3 linked regions of the Kluyveromyces lactis genome follow. The protein of the gene in region 2 interacts with the protein of the main gene of each other region in a pairwise test. Links are inferred from orthologs where the notes say so. Each region holds a gene or a part of one and is shown on either strand. Other genes may lie near its edges. The genes, in order: LUG1, SKP1 and ROY1.

Region 1 (4,134 bases), on a different chromosome or scaffold from region 2:
AGTGCTCAATGCAGATATTACTCACTGTAACACTAAATATAAACTATTTGCATCTCTTACTAGATCAGGTTTTCCCAAAAGAAGCCAGTCGAAAGTACCTGTCGTTAAATTGCACTTTTTTTCATTCTCGAGAGACAATCGTGCACTAAAAAAAAAAAGCTCCTACGAACCCAGCAATGGGGTGAACAGAAAAGGCATAACAGTTGCCTTTTGTTTATTTATTTCCCAATTAGGTATAGTAATGAACTGCCAGTCAGCTACCCTGACTGTGTCTATGGCCAAACTGCACAAAGGAAGCTATAGGACGGGATGCAGGTACCAGCACTGGGTTGCATAAGAGGCCCGCAAACTTTGTGCGAGCGTGATGTGAGGTGTATTTATTATTAAATTTAAATTTCTCTAGACACAGTATATGCGATTTGTCACAAATGATTCACAATTTACATAAAAAAGGGCAAGCTTGATTAAGTCTTGAGAGAATAGTAGCGATACATTCCGCGTTCCACAGTGCCAAATACTTTGTATTCTTGCAGTTGCTCGTAGTGGATACGGTACCGCTTGTTCATTTCTGGTTCATTAGGGTCATAAACGTAATCTGCACTTAGTTTGTTTTTGTCGTTTTTTTTATAGTGTTCAGAAGAAGGAGTGGACAAGTAGTGTGGCAAAGACGTTTGGGATTGAGATTGAGACTGTGAGTGTTGCTTGAATGCATTCGTCAGATTGGATGTGTTACCGTTATTGTTGTTGTTGAGGTTATTTTTGGAAGAAGAACGATGATAACTATTGAACAAGCTCATCTGTGATCTTCTTCTCTGAAGTTCAGGATCGTTCAAATAATCATAGTCCGTTTCAGCATTCTCGTATTCACTTTCCGTAAGAGTGGGATCTGCAGAGGTTGCGGATCTGTCCCAGTAGATGGCATCTCTTGTGTTTTCTCGCACAAGAGGTGGGCGCGTCTCGGGAATCGAAGTAAGCGATTGGAACGAGTTATGGATTATTGGACTATTCTCTTCAATTGTACTTGCGTCATCTTCTGTAGTAGTATCCTCGTCATCATTTCTGATAAGCCTCCATCCACCAGGTGGGAGTCTTGGTGAGAGAATAGGCATTGCGTGTGTGCCTGGTGTGGCGAACCGGCCATCTCTATTGAAAAATCTTGAAATTGGAGGTTTCATGTCTTTATATATTAATCTTCTTCTTGCAGAATTCATTGGAACAATACCACATCCTAACATGATCTTGTTTTGGGCGAATTTAAGAAAGTCGGGTTGCTTTACGATCTCAATGATCTTTCTCCCATCGGAATCGTATCTGGTCAATGAGGCTGCTTGGTCGATATTTTCACGATTCAAATATGGGTCACACTTGTATAGCCAATACCTTCTACCATAAGATGAATCGATGTAACATTTCCATTTGACGCTTTCCATGTTCTTTATATCTTGAATAATTGATGTTCTTCCAGTCTTGTTTTTGAAACAGTTCAATTCATGACGATCATTCAGGTTTTCAATCTGCTGCCAAGAGTCAAATGATAATTCCAATGACACTAAAGAATCGGAACATGTGAATAATGCAGGATCCTGGATGGTCCATCGATTAATATAGGAGTTGTTCGAGATATTTAAAAATTTTAACTTTTGTTCAACCTCGATGTCACTATCATGAACAGGTGATAGGAACTGTATTATTCTATCGTAAGGTACATTAGTATCCTTTATATTCAAACTTTTCAATGCTGGAAAATTCAACTTTATAAACTGTAAGGAATCATGGCACTGATAATAGTGCGGAGTTTTGATTAGCGTGCGGTCATCTGAATAGTGCAATGGCAGTCCTCCGATGTTAAGGTATTCCAACGTTTTATTGTGTCCATATTGACATAACTTCTTTAACAAAAACAATGTCTGCGTATCGGTCCATGTTGACGTATGTGGATGCACTTGCACGTTTAGCCATTGTAGCGTACTATTGTTATTTTCATCTGTTACAGCTGGATGGTATGAAAAGAACTCCAAAATTCCTCTTGGCGTCAATTGCAAACATTCTCCAAAGGATAAATGTGTCAAATTTTTCCAATGTGGTAAATTATTTATTAGAGTACCATCGTCAATAGCAGTATGCGTTAAATCTAACTTCTGTAACTCCGGCAGAAGGTTCAATAGCTTTGAAAGGGTATTATCTGGAATGTCTGTACAGTCATTCAAACCTAGACATGTAATCTGAAAGTTTTCACGAGAACTTGGGTGTGCCGCCATCTTTTCTACTGCTGTAACAAACTGTTTTGTGAAAACGGATCCGGAACATCCACAGAAATCTACCACACTCAACACTGTTCCAGGAGAAAGTAAGAAATGGACTATCCTCTCGTCTATATCTCCCTGAATATGCTCACTGGCTAGAAATTCCCTTAGCGTATTTTTGGTCAATAATAAGAATTCCCAAAGAGTTTCATTTGTGAGGTTTTTGATCATCCTATTCATTTCTCCAGTCCGTCCAAGACCAATCGATGTTAACTCTTGAAAGTCTGCTACCTCTACCAACTTTCTTAATCCAGGATCATCCTCTTTTAAAGTGTTTAAAAGCTTGTGGAATGACCTTGCTGTAGTAAAGTTCAAATATCTATAAATGAGTACTCTGCATACATGATGGAATGTCCTGTTAACAGTAGAGTTCGATCCTAAGAAAGTTTTGATATTGGAGTGATATTTCTCACTAGTAGCTGAGTGATCATTAGACATAAGATCCTTGAACTGGTATGATAAGATTTCATAGACTATCTCTGAAGGTAACCGCATCGTCGATGTTTCACTGATCATATTGAACGAATTATGATATGCGAGCCCCGAATAACACGTTTTATACACTTCACCAATCCTTAAAGCTATTTGCACCTGTTTTGGTGCTCTTGATGATTTCTTTAAGATCCACTTTGGTTTTCATTTTTTCTTCTATTGATGCGGGTCTTTTGTTCAAGTTCTTGTTCATTCTAATTATATCGCTACTTTATTTTTCATTTCAGGGCATAAAGTACACTTAAGGTTCATAAGGGATCAAAGAGTATGAAAAACGTGATGTGGTTATTCGTAGCTTTACTTAGTTATGTAATTAACTATATGATTGTCTAATATGAGTATGAGAATTCTTGTATTACTTTTCCTCAATTTGACAGACTAGGCGTCCTAATGAGAAGTACCCATGAAACGTAAAATCCTTGAGTCTCAGTACATTCATTCAAAGACTATGCGGATAGTTTTTTTTTAGTTCATAGAATATCGAACATATCAATTTAGAGGCTTCATAACTTCACCATAAAGCATCTTTTTCAACAGTTCCAGTGGAATATCGTCTTCCTCGTTTTTATCGCGGGCCTCGTTGTCAATTTTCCAAAAATTGTCTTCAAGGTTTAGTTGGGGATAATCTGGCTCGTCATCTGGATCATGATATGTTGCCAAATATGGATGTTCCAACGCTTCAACTGCACTGATCCTCTTGTCTGGGTTGAAAGTTAGCATCTTGGACAATAAATCGATAGCAAGAGGGTTAACTTCTTTATTTAACACATTAGCCCAGGGTATACCTTTCTTCATGGGTAGTTGAGATATGTATTCTTTTGCCCTTTTACTCTTGATTTGTTCAAAGTCTTCCAAAGTTGGAGACCCTAAAACTTCTAAGATGATCCAGAGTTGATGGTGGTAATCTTTACCTGGGAAAAGCGGCTTACCCATGATCATTTCTGCTAGTATACATCCACATGACCAGATATCCATTGCAGTTGTGTATTCTTGGAAGGACAACATGATTTCTGGAGCCCTATACCATCTGGTAGCTACATATTCTGTCATGAAACCCACCATATTCTCTCTTGATTGATCACTCGATGCCAGGCAACGAGCCAACCCAAAATCACACACTTTGAGATCACAATTGCTATTCAGTAACAAATTACTTGGTTTCAAATCCCTATGGATTACTTGTGCCGAATGTAGCGATTTTAAAGCCCTTAGTATTTGATAAACGAAATATTGGATATGATCCTCTGATAAATTTTGTTGGTTGATAATCTTCTGCAAATCCGTTTCCATCAACTCTTGTACAAGATAAACTGCTTCAAATTTATGCCATGACGTCGGA
Region 2 (2,616 bases):
TTGCCCTGAGACTTTGGTTGACTCTTGTCCTTATCCTTTTTCTTTTCCTTGTTCTTCTTCTTGCGTTTGTTTAAATTTAGCAACGAACTAGTATTCCCGCTTAGCGATCTTAGTCTGGATTTGGTCTCCTCACCAATGGTCAACGTCATCACAATCCTACACCAAGTATACCAGTAACAAGGGTCCTATGGTGCATCTATCGATGCAGTTCTGCCTTGAATAGATAAAACCAGAAGCAAAAAGTTTCAATTTAAGGTAGCGCGTTCTTTAAATATTATATATAGGTACAAAAATGAAAAATTATCGGTGCAGAGACAGACCTTGAAGCTATAAATGCGATATGAAAGCGATCCCTGCGTTTGCCCATGACTCAAATTCACTACTTCAATTAAGATCCGCTTAACAAGCAAGTACTTAAATTATTGATTACATACGGGAAATGAGGGAAATTGCTATTTTAAACTGAAGAGGATGTAGATACAGAAAGAGAAAACAACAAGAAAACTTGTAAGTTTAACGGTCTTCTGCCCATTCGTTTTCACGTCTTATGGCAGCTTCTTCCTCTGGAGTGAAATCGTTAACGATATTGAAGGTCCTTCTGATTTCTTCAGGTGTTCTGCCCCTAATCATCTCCGCAACAACTTTACATCCAGCATCCAACAATGGCTTGATATTTAGATAGTTAGCTGCTAGAATAATCTCATATAACATTTCTTGGTCCACTTTCAAGAACTCACGGTCCCATGGATCCACAGGCGCAGCTTTCCTCGAATCGTCGTCATCTTCATCGGGGAAATTGGAATCCTTGTGATGAACGGCCCATTCGATCACTTTCTGTAATACTGACGACCTCACATTGGGCACGGGCATCACTATTTCATCGTCACCATCCTCTTCATCATCTTCGTCATCGTCAGCATCGTTATCATCATGCAAATCGCCACTGTTAAGATCTTGCAAGTAGTTCTTTAGTAAAAGTGAGCGTTCAGCGATCTTCCTGTCAACGACAAATCTCTCTCCCTCAACACTCACTAAAACAACGTTCTGGTTTTCCTTGGACATGATTTTCTGGTACTAAATAGAACCCACTTGGTAACTCTATGGTGCTAACTAACTACAAACACCAAGCTCCTATCCACTTGCAAACATTAACTGAGATGTATAACATGTTGATTGACAACCTGTTGGGAATTCGATTCTTTTCGTTATTTGACCTTAAGGAAAAGAAAATTATGATCACGTGGCCATTAAAGAAACAGGAAGAGAAACCCCGTAGTGCCAGTGAAAGAGTAACGTTAACTATAGAACTATCTACATACACGGTATGGAGCGATTTCAGTACTTGAATGGAGGGCCAAGTAAGGTTTTCATAGACCGAAGTTACTATATACGCATGCACTGAGATCGTCAAGTGCCGAGATGGAGTGTAGTTTCTGTAGGAACTTGTTGTTCATTGATACGAGTCCCGCTTTCAACATTTCGTTTGTGCAGTCTTTCGTGGCGATAGAGAATAATGCGATTTGATATGAATTTTTGGATATATCGACTACTTTGGTGTCGTCATCATTCGATTTAGGTTTCGATTTGCTGTTGACATTATCCTCGATTTGTTCCATGATTGTGTGGAATGTTTCATCGATTAAAGACTCCAGGACAATCCATGTTCCAGGTGATTGTAGGCATTTGTTGGTCTCTTGTACAAGTTGTTTTAGTAATAGATTATCCTCGTATAGTACTTTCAAAGCATCTTGTTCTAAAGTTTGTTGAAGAACAAATCTCTCTAAGTTAGGTTCAGGAAGTAGACATGAAATGAACATTTCATTCGATTGTGGCTGTTGAAAGAATTGCTTGTTTGTGGTGACGAATATCTTGCTTATCTTGCCACTGAACTCATCCATTGTCATGATATCTCTTGGGTTCGAATTTTGGAACTCTTCTTTCACCAATTGTTCAATGATACTCTTGTATTGTAGGTATCCACGGTTTAATAACCACCACGATAAGGATAAGAAAGCTTGTTCGTTAACGTATCTCGATTTTTCAGGGTTCGCAGTGGATGCAATGCTCCTTGTGTCCGTGTCAATAGTACCATCGCTGTTTCTTGGGTCAGCTTTTTCACTGGGTAAATTGTTGCTCTTTTCAGTGATCCAACTAGAGAACCAAGATAAGACTGAGTATTGATTAGCCTTCTTTTCCCTTTCCTTTTCCATGGCAGAATTGATGGCAGTATCCAAATACTCTCTTCTTGCCAATATATTCAATTGCAATCGGGTTAAAAGCATCAATAATGATGTGGTATAGGACAAGATAATGATCTTGGTGATAGCTTTGAGTTTCAAATCGTCCCAAAGCTCGGCCTTGGATTTCGTAGACGTTTCAGAAACGCTAGTGGTATCTGCAGATTGCGGAGATTTCGCTGACACACTGGGTGCAGGCGTCATCGCACTCATTCCTGAACTTAAGCCCTCATTTTCCAACTCATTCCCAGCTATTTCACCTTTGGAAAGCTTCTTCTGTAACTTTTTCCCCTTTAGAGCCTCTACAATAGAATCAAGATCGAAATCCTTAGCCAACACTAACGTCATTACCGGCATCAATTCATAAAGAGTGTACAAC
Region 3 (3,638 bases), on a different chromosome or scaffold from region 2:
CAATGTGTCTTAGGCAAACGTTCAGCCCACGTCGTATTACAGTCACGTTGCTGGGAAGCCTGGCATTCATCGCTGAAACTTTCAATAGCGACATAATTCCCACCTGCACCTACTCTTCCCTGCCCTTGATTCAGCTATGCGACAACAATGTCAATAAGCTTGATGGATTTGTTTAAGAAACTATCTTCAAACAATTTATTGTAGTAACCCACCAGCTAAAGAGCGGGAAAAAAAAACGGGTAGCAGAAAGGATCAGATATAGTTCGGTCCTGAATTGGGCTTAACTAAGGCTTGGTTCACTCACCAATTGTAATGGATATCCTTAAACAAGTTGTACTATGACCGCTCATCTCTTCTCTCACACCATGTCCTTCAAATTTTTTGATACTTGAAGCTATCATATTGAACGGTAAAGCTATAACATAAGCAGATCAGACACAAATATAAAGGTTTGTGATCATACTATCAGGGGCTGCCACTGCACAATTGCGGCGAATGTTCACCACGTCAGTGCTTCATTGAATTCTTATAACTTACTTTTGAACTGAGTAAAATCGATTTTCATTATCTAGTGAAATCGGAGATATCATGATTTGTATAAGATACATAACACAATATACATTGGATTGGTAAGGTGAATTACCTATCGTATTGAGACGAGAACTGGCGATCATCTGATACTTGGTAATAAATACCTGATAGAAGACAGACGGTTAAGTTTGGGAGGAGTTTCACCAAAGTTTTCATGTAGTCATCGAAGAAATGGGAAATCACCTGCGTTAGATGGGTATATGCAGATTCGTCAAAATGGCAGTTATAGTCCTGGAAATGATAGACGTTTTCGTATCCGTGAAAATCCCACATTTGTTGCGTCGGAGAATACTGCAATGCTTTTAAATCCCAATCTGTTTCGGTCAGGAACCTACGACAAAGTGAATCACCAGCGTATGCAAAGAAAACAGTCGGTATTATGTCCTTGTATTGGCCTTCCTCGTAAGAGTAGTATTGATGGTTCTGAATGAATTGGTCGAAAATATCTAGCACTTTAGTGCATTTCTCACATTCGCAACCATTCCATAAGAGATCACATACAAGAATCTCATAGGAACTCAACGATTGCAAGATAGTGGGAGCAAATAATTTCTTCAACGATTTCAAATGAGGAAGCACCTCTTCATACAAAGTTCTTCTTCTGATATAGTTCCCCTCAACACTATCCTTCTGTATTCCATTAATTGGGCAATTGTGTCTGACACTTAAAGTCTGTAGATTCTGGCTTACATTAGGTAAATGTAATATGAATCTGTTTATGGAAAGATCCCAATTTTCCTCAGTGTAATGGTCACCTTGAGTAACGAAAGTTTTCTCGATCAAGGCAAGGTTCCTCAAAGATACTAATTCGCTAGAGATTTCGGACAAAAAATCATCGATGCAAGTACATTCCGACATCTCACATGCTAACTCCATTTCTAATGACTGTAACTGTTTCAACGGGATCACTTCTTTCAAGAAATCAGCAGTCAATTCACGATACGTCTTGTTATAATCGTGTATGCCATGGACATGGTTGAACTTCACACTCTTTAATTTTGTGAATACCACTCCTTGTTCCTTGAAATAGTAAAACACTCTAAGAGAAGAAAACTCTATGTCTTCTATCACCAATTCCTCCAAGTTTGCCAAGAGTTTGAATTTCACTGCATCAGACAATATGACATTATCAAACGATGGTAATGTCACAAAAATCTCTAGCGATTTGAGCTGCTCAAGATCTGATATATCGTTCAAAGAACCAATTTCTTGGATTCTCATCACCTTAGATGGTCTTATACCTTTCAACTTCTCTTTGTTAGCTTGGAAGAGAACGGAGTCTCTAATATCCAAATTTGTTACTTGATTTAACGATCTCACACTATCAATTAATCGTTGTAATAACGGCATACCGGCCTCTGTATCATTGAATACATCTTCCTGAACTACCAGAGTCCGTATCAGATACAAATGTTTGCTTTCTAAAAGTCTGCATATCCTATCGTATAAGAATAAATCATTTTGGTCGTTACTCTTGGTTATAGATCGATACCCAGCGACATACGTTTTCCCACACTCAATCCACCAGTCTTTCGAGCGCAATACTGGATTCTTATTAATTGTGATATCAGCGTATAGTCGAGGAGTCGCCAACTCATTGAAGCGGCGACTTACCAGACAGAGTGACGCTAGATCGTTCTGGTTCAAAAAGTTAGCCACATCATCAAAAACGTCTTCCAACGAAATACCTTGAGTCATTATCTAGAAGAATCCTCAATCCTAAGTTCAGAGGAACAGAATACAGTAATAAGGATCGGTTTCACACAATAGATTTCTCTCAATTCAAACAACAAGCCGGTAGCGACAATATAATTCAATTTTATGTGTGTTTCTTATAGCTCATCACCTTATTTTAAGCACCTTCCTTTCCAACCTTTTTTTTGTAAACTTTCCCAACGAAATACACTGGGAATAATAGTGTACGGACATAAAAAATAAACGACCCCGGAGAGGATTGAACTCTCGATCTTGCGATTAACAGTCGCACGCCTTAACCAGCTTGGCCACGGAGTCATGTTGTTGTTAATATGACAATTAGATGTGCACTATAACCTGATAGAGCCATCACATATGAGGCTATTCCTTATACATGGATCTACGTATCTCCGGACGTCATGTAATGGATTAAAATGCAGGATGGTAATATATATTCTTATCTAGCATATGCTAATATCTTATATTGGATATAAGATTTGATAATCGTTGAGGTGATCTATATTTCAAAAATTAAGGGATGACAGTTAAGCAATTCTAGTTTGGCGTCTATCTCTGAAAGATCTTCACCGAATGATTGCAGTAGTTTTCTCTGGAGAGAAAGCTTATTGAATATTTCAGGGTTTGATCCCCATTTGAAGAAACCATCTCGGTCTTCTGCTTTAAGGCCAGAAACAACATCAGATAGGTTCTGCTTTACCTTTTTCAGTTGGATGGAAATTGGTAGATGGCCTAATCCCTTTAACATGGCAATCGTTTGAGTTCCGAGCTGCAACTCATTTCGATATTGGTTGTCCTTCTCTACATCAAATAGCTCGTTCTCTGCACTGGAGTTCACATTGCTGATCATAAAACCTTCGTATAATTGCTCCAAGAGCTGTATCAAGGTGAGGCTGATGTCATCTGAACGAAATATTTGTGGGAGCATCTCTGCACACCTCAAACTTGTAGAGTAAGGAGAAGAGTTTAAATTTTTTTCTACCACTTGCAAAACATGTTCATTGATAAACCTAGCCGTCATTAATCTGACATCTGAGGAATCGTCAAAGAGCTGTTGATAGATCCTGAAGAGGATTTTGTCATCTGGTGCCGAACGGTAAGAATGCATCAAACATTGGGTTGCAGAGAGCCTCAAATGGTCGGGACTCTCATCTGAAATGTTGCTATCGATCAATTCCCAGAAAACGGATTCCGGTACGTTTTCGAAAACGCTGATGTTCTCTAACAAACTACTTTGTAACATCTCACTTTTATCGGAAGCTAAATCTAAGTACTTGAACGTTTTCACCTTGATGTTAGCCATACGCAATACTGTTAGAGTATCAGCTTTCACT

Evidence for each region.
Region 1: the proteins of SKP1 (region 2) and LUG1 interact in binary tests that used the Saccharomyces cerevisiae proteins (3 or more experiments, as listed by UniProt). The link is inferred for Kluyveromyces lactis from reciprocal best matches to the Saccharomyces cerevisiae genes SKP1 and LUG1.
Region 3: the proteins of SKP1 (region 2) and ROY1 interact in binary tests that used the Saccharomyces cerevisiae proteins (3 or more experiments, as listed by UniProt). The link is inferred for Kluyveromyces lactis from reciprocal best matches to the Saccharomyces cerevisiae genes SKP1 and ROY1.

What each region holds. Positions count from the first base shown.
Region 1 is NC_006037.1:218,831-222,964, reverse strand, and holds LUG1 (Lug1p), read right to left. Parts: upstream 2,820-4,134; coding exon 465-2,819; downstream 1-464. Other genes in the region: mitogen-activated serine/threonine-protein kinase KSS1, read right to left, coding at 3,285-4,134. UniProt on the Saccharomyces cerevisiae protein: Substrate recognition component of a SCF (SKP1-CUL1-F-box protein) E3 ubiquitin-protein ligase complex which mediates the ubiquitination and subsequent proteasomal degradation of target proteins. Probably recognizes and binds to phosphorylated target proteins.
Region 2 is NC_006041.1:1,507,372-1,509,987, forward strand, and holds SKP1 (SCF ubiquitin ligase subunit SKP1), read right to left. Parts: upstream 1,063-2,616; coding exon 514-1,062; downstream 1-513. Other genes in the region: YSP2 (Ysp2p), read right to left, coding at 1-149; PEX3 (Pex3p), read right to left, coding at 1,368-2,616.
Region 3 is NC_006038.1:761,418-765,055, reverse strand, and holds ROY1 (Roy1p), read right to left. Parts: upstream 2,290-3,638; coding exon 640-2,289; downstream 1-639. Other genes in the region: PET111 (Pet111p), read right to left, coding at 1-94; tRNA methylation protein TRM732, read right to left, coding at 2,804-3,638. UniProt on the Saccharomyces cerevisiae protein: Non-SCF-type F-box protein involved in the endocytic with the vacuolar sorting pathway. Acts as a repressor of YPT52 by inhibiting the formation of active, GTP-bound, YPT52. Involved in the defense mechanism against methylmercury toxicity.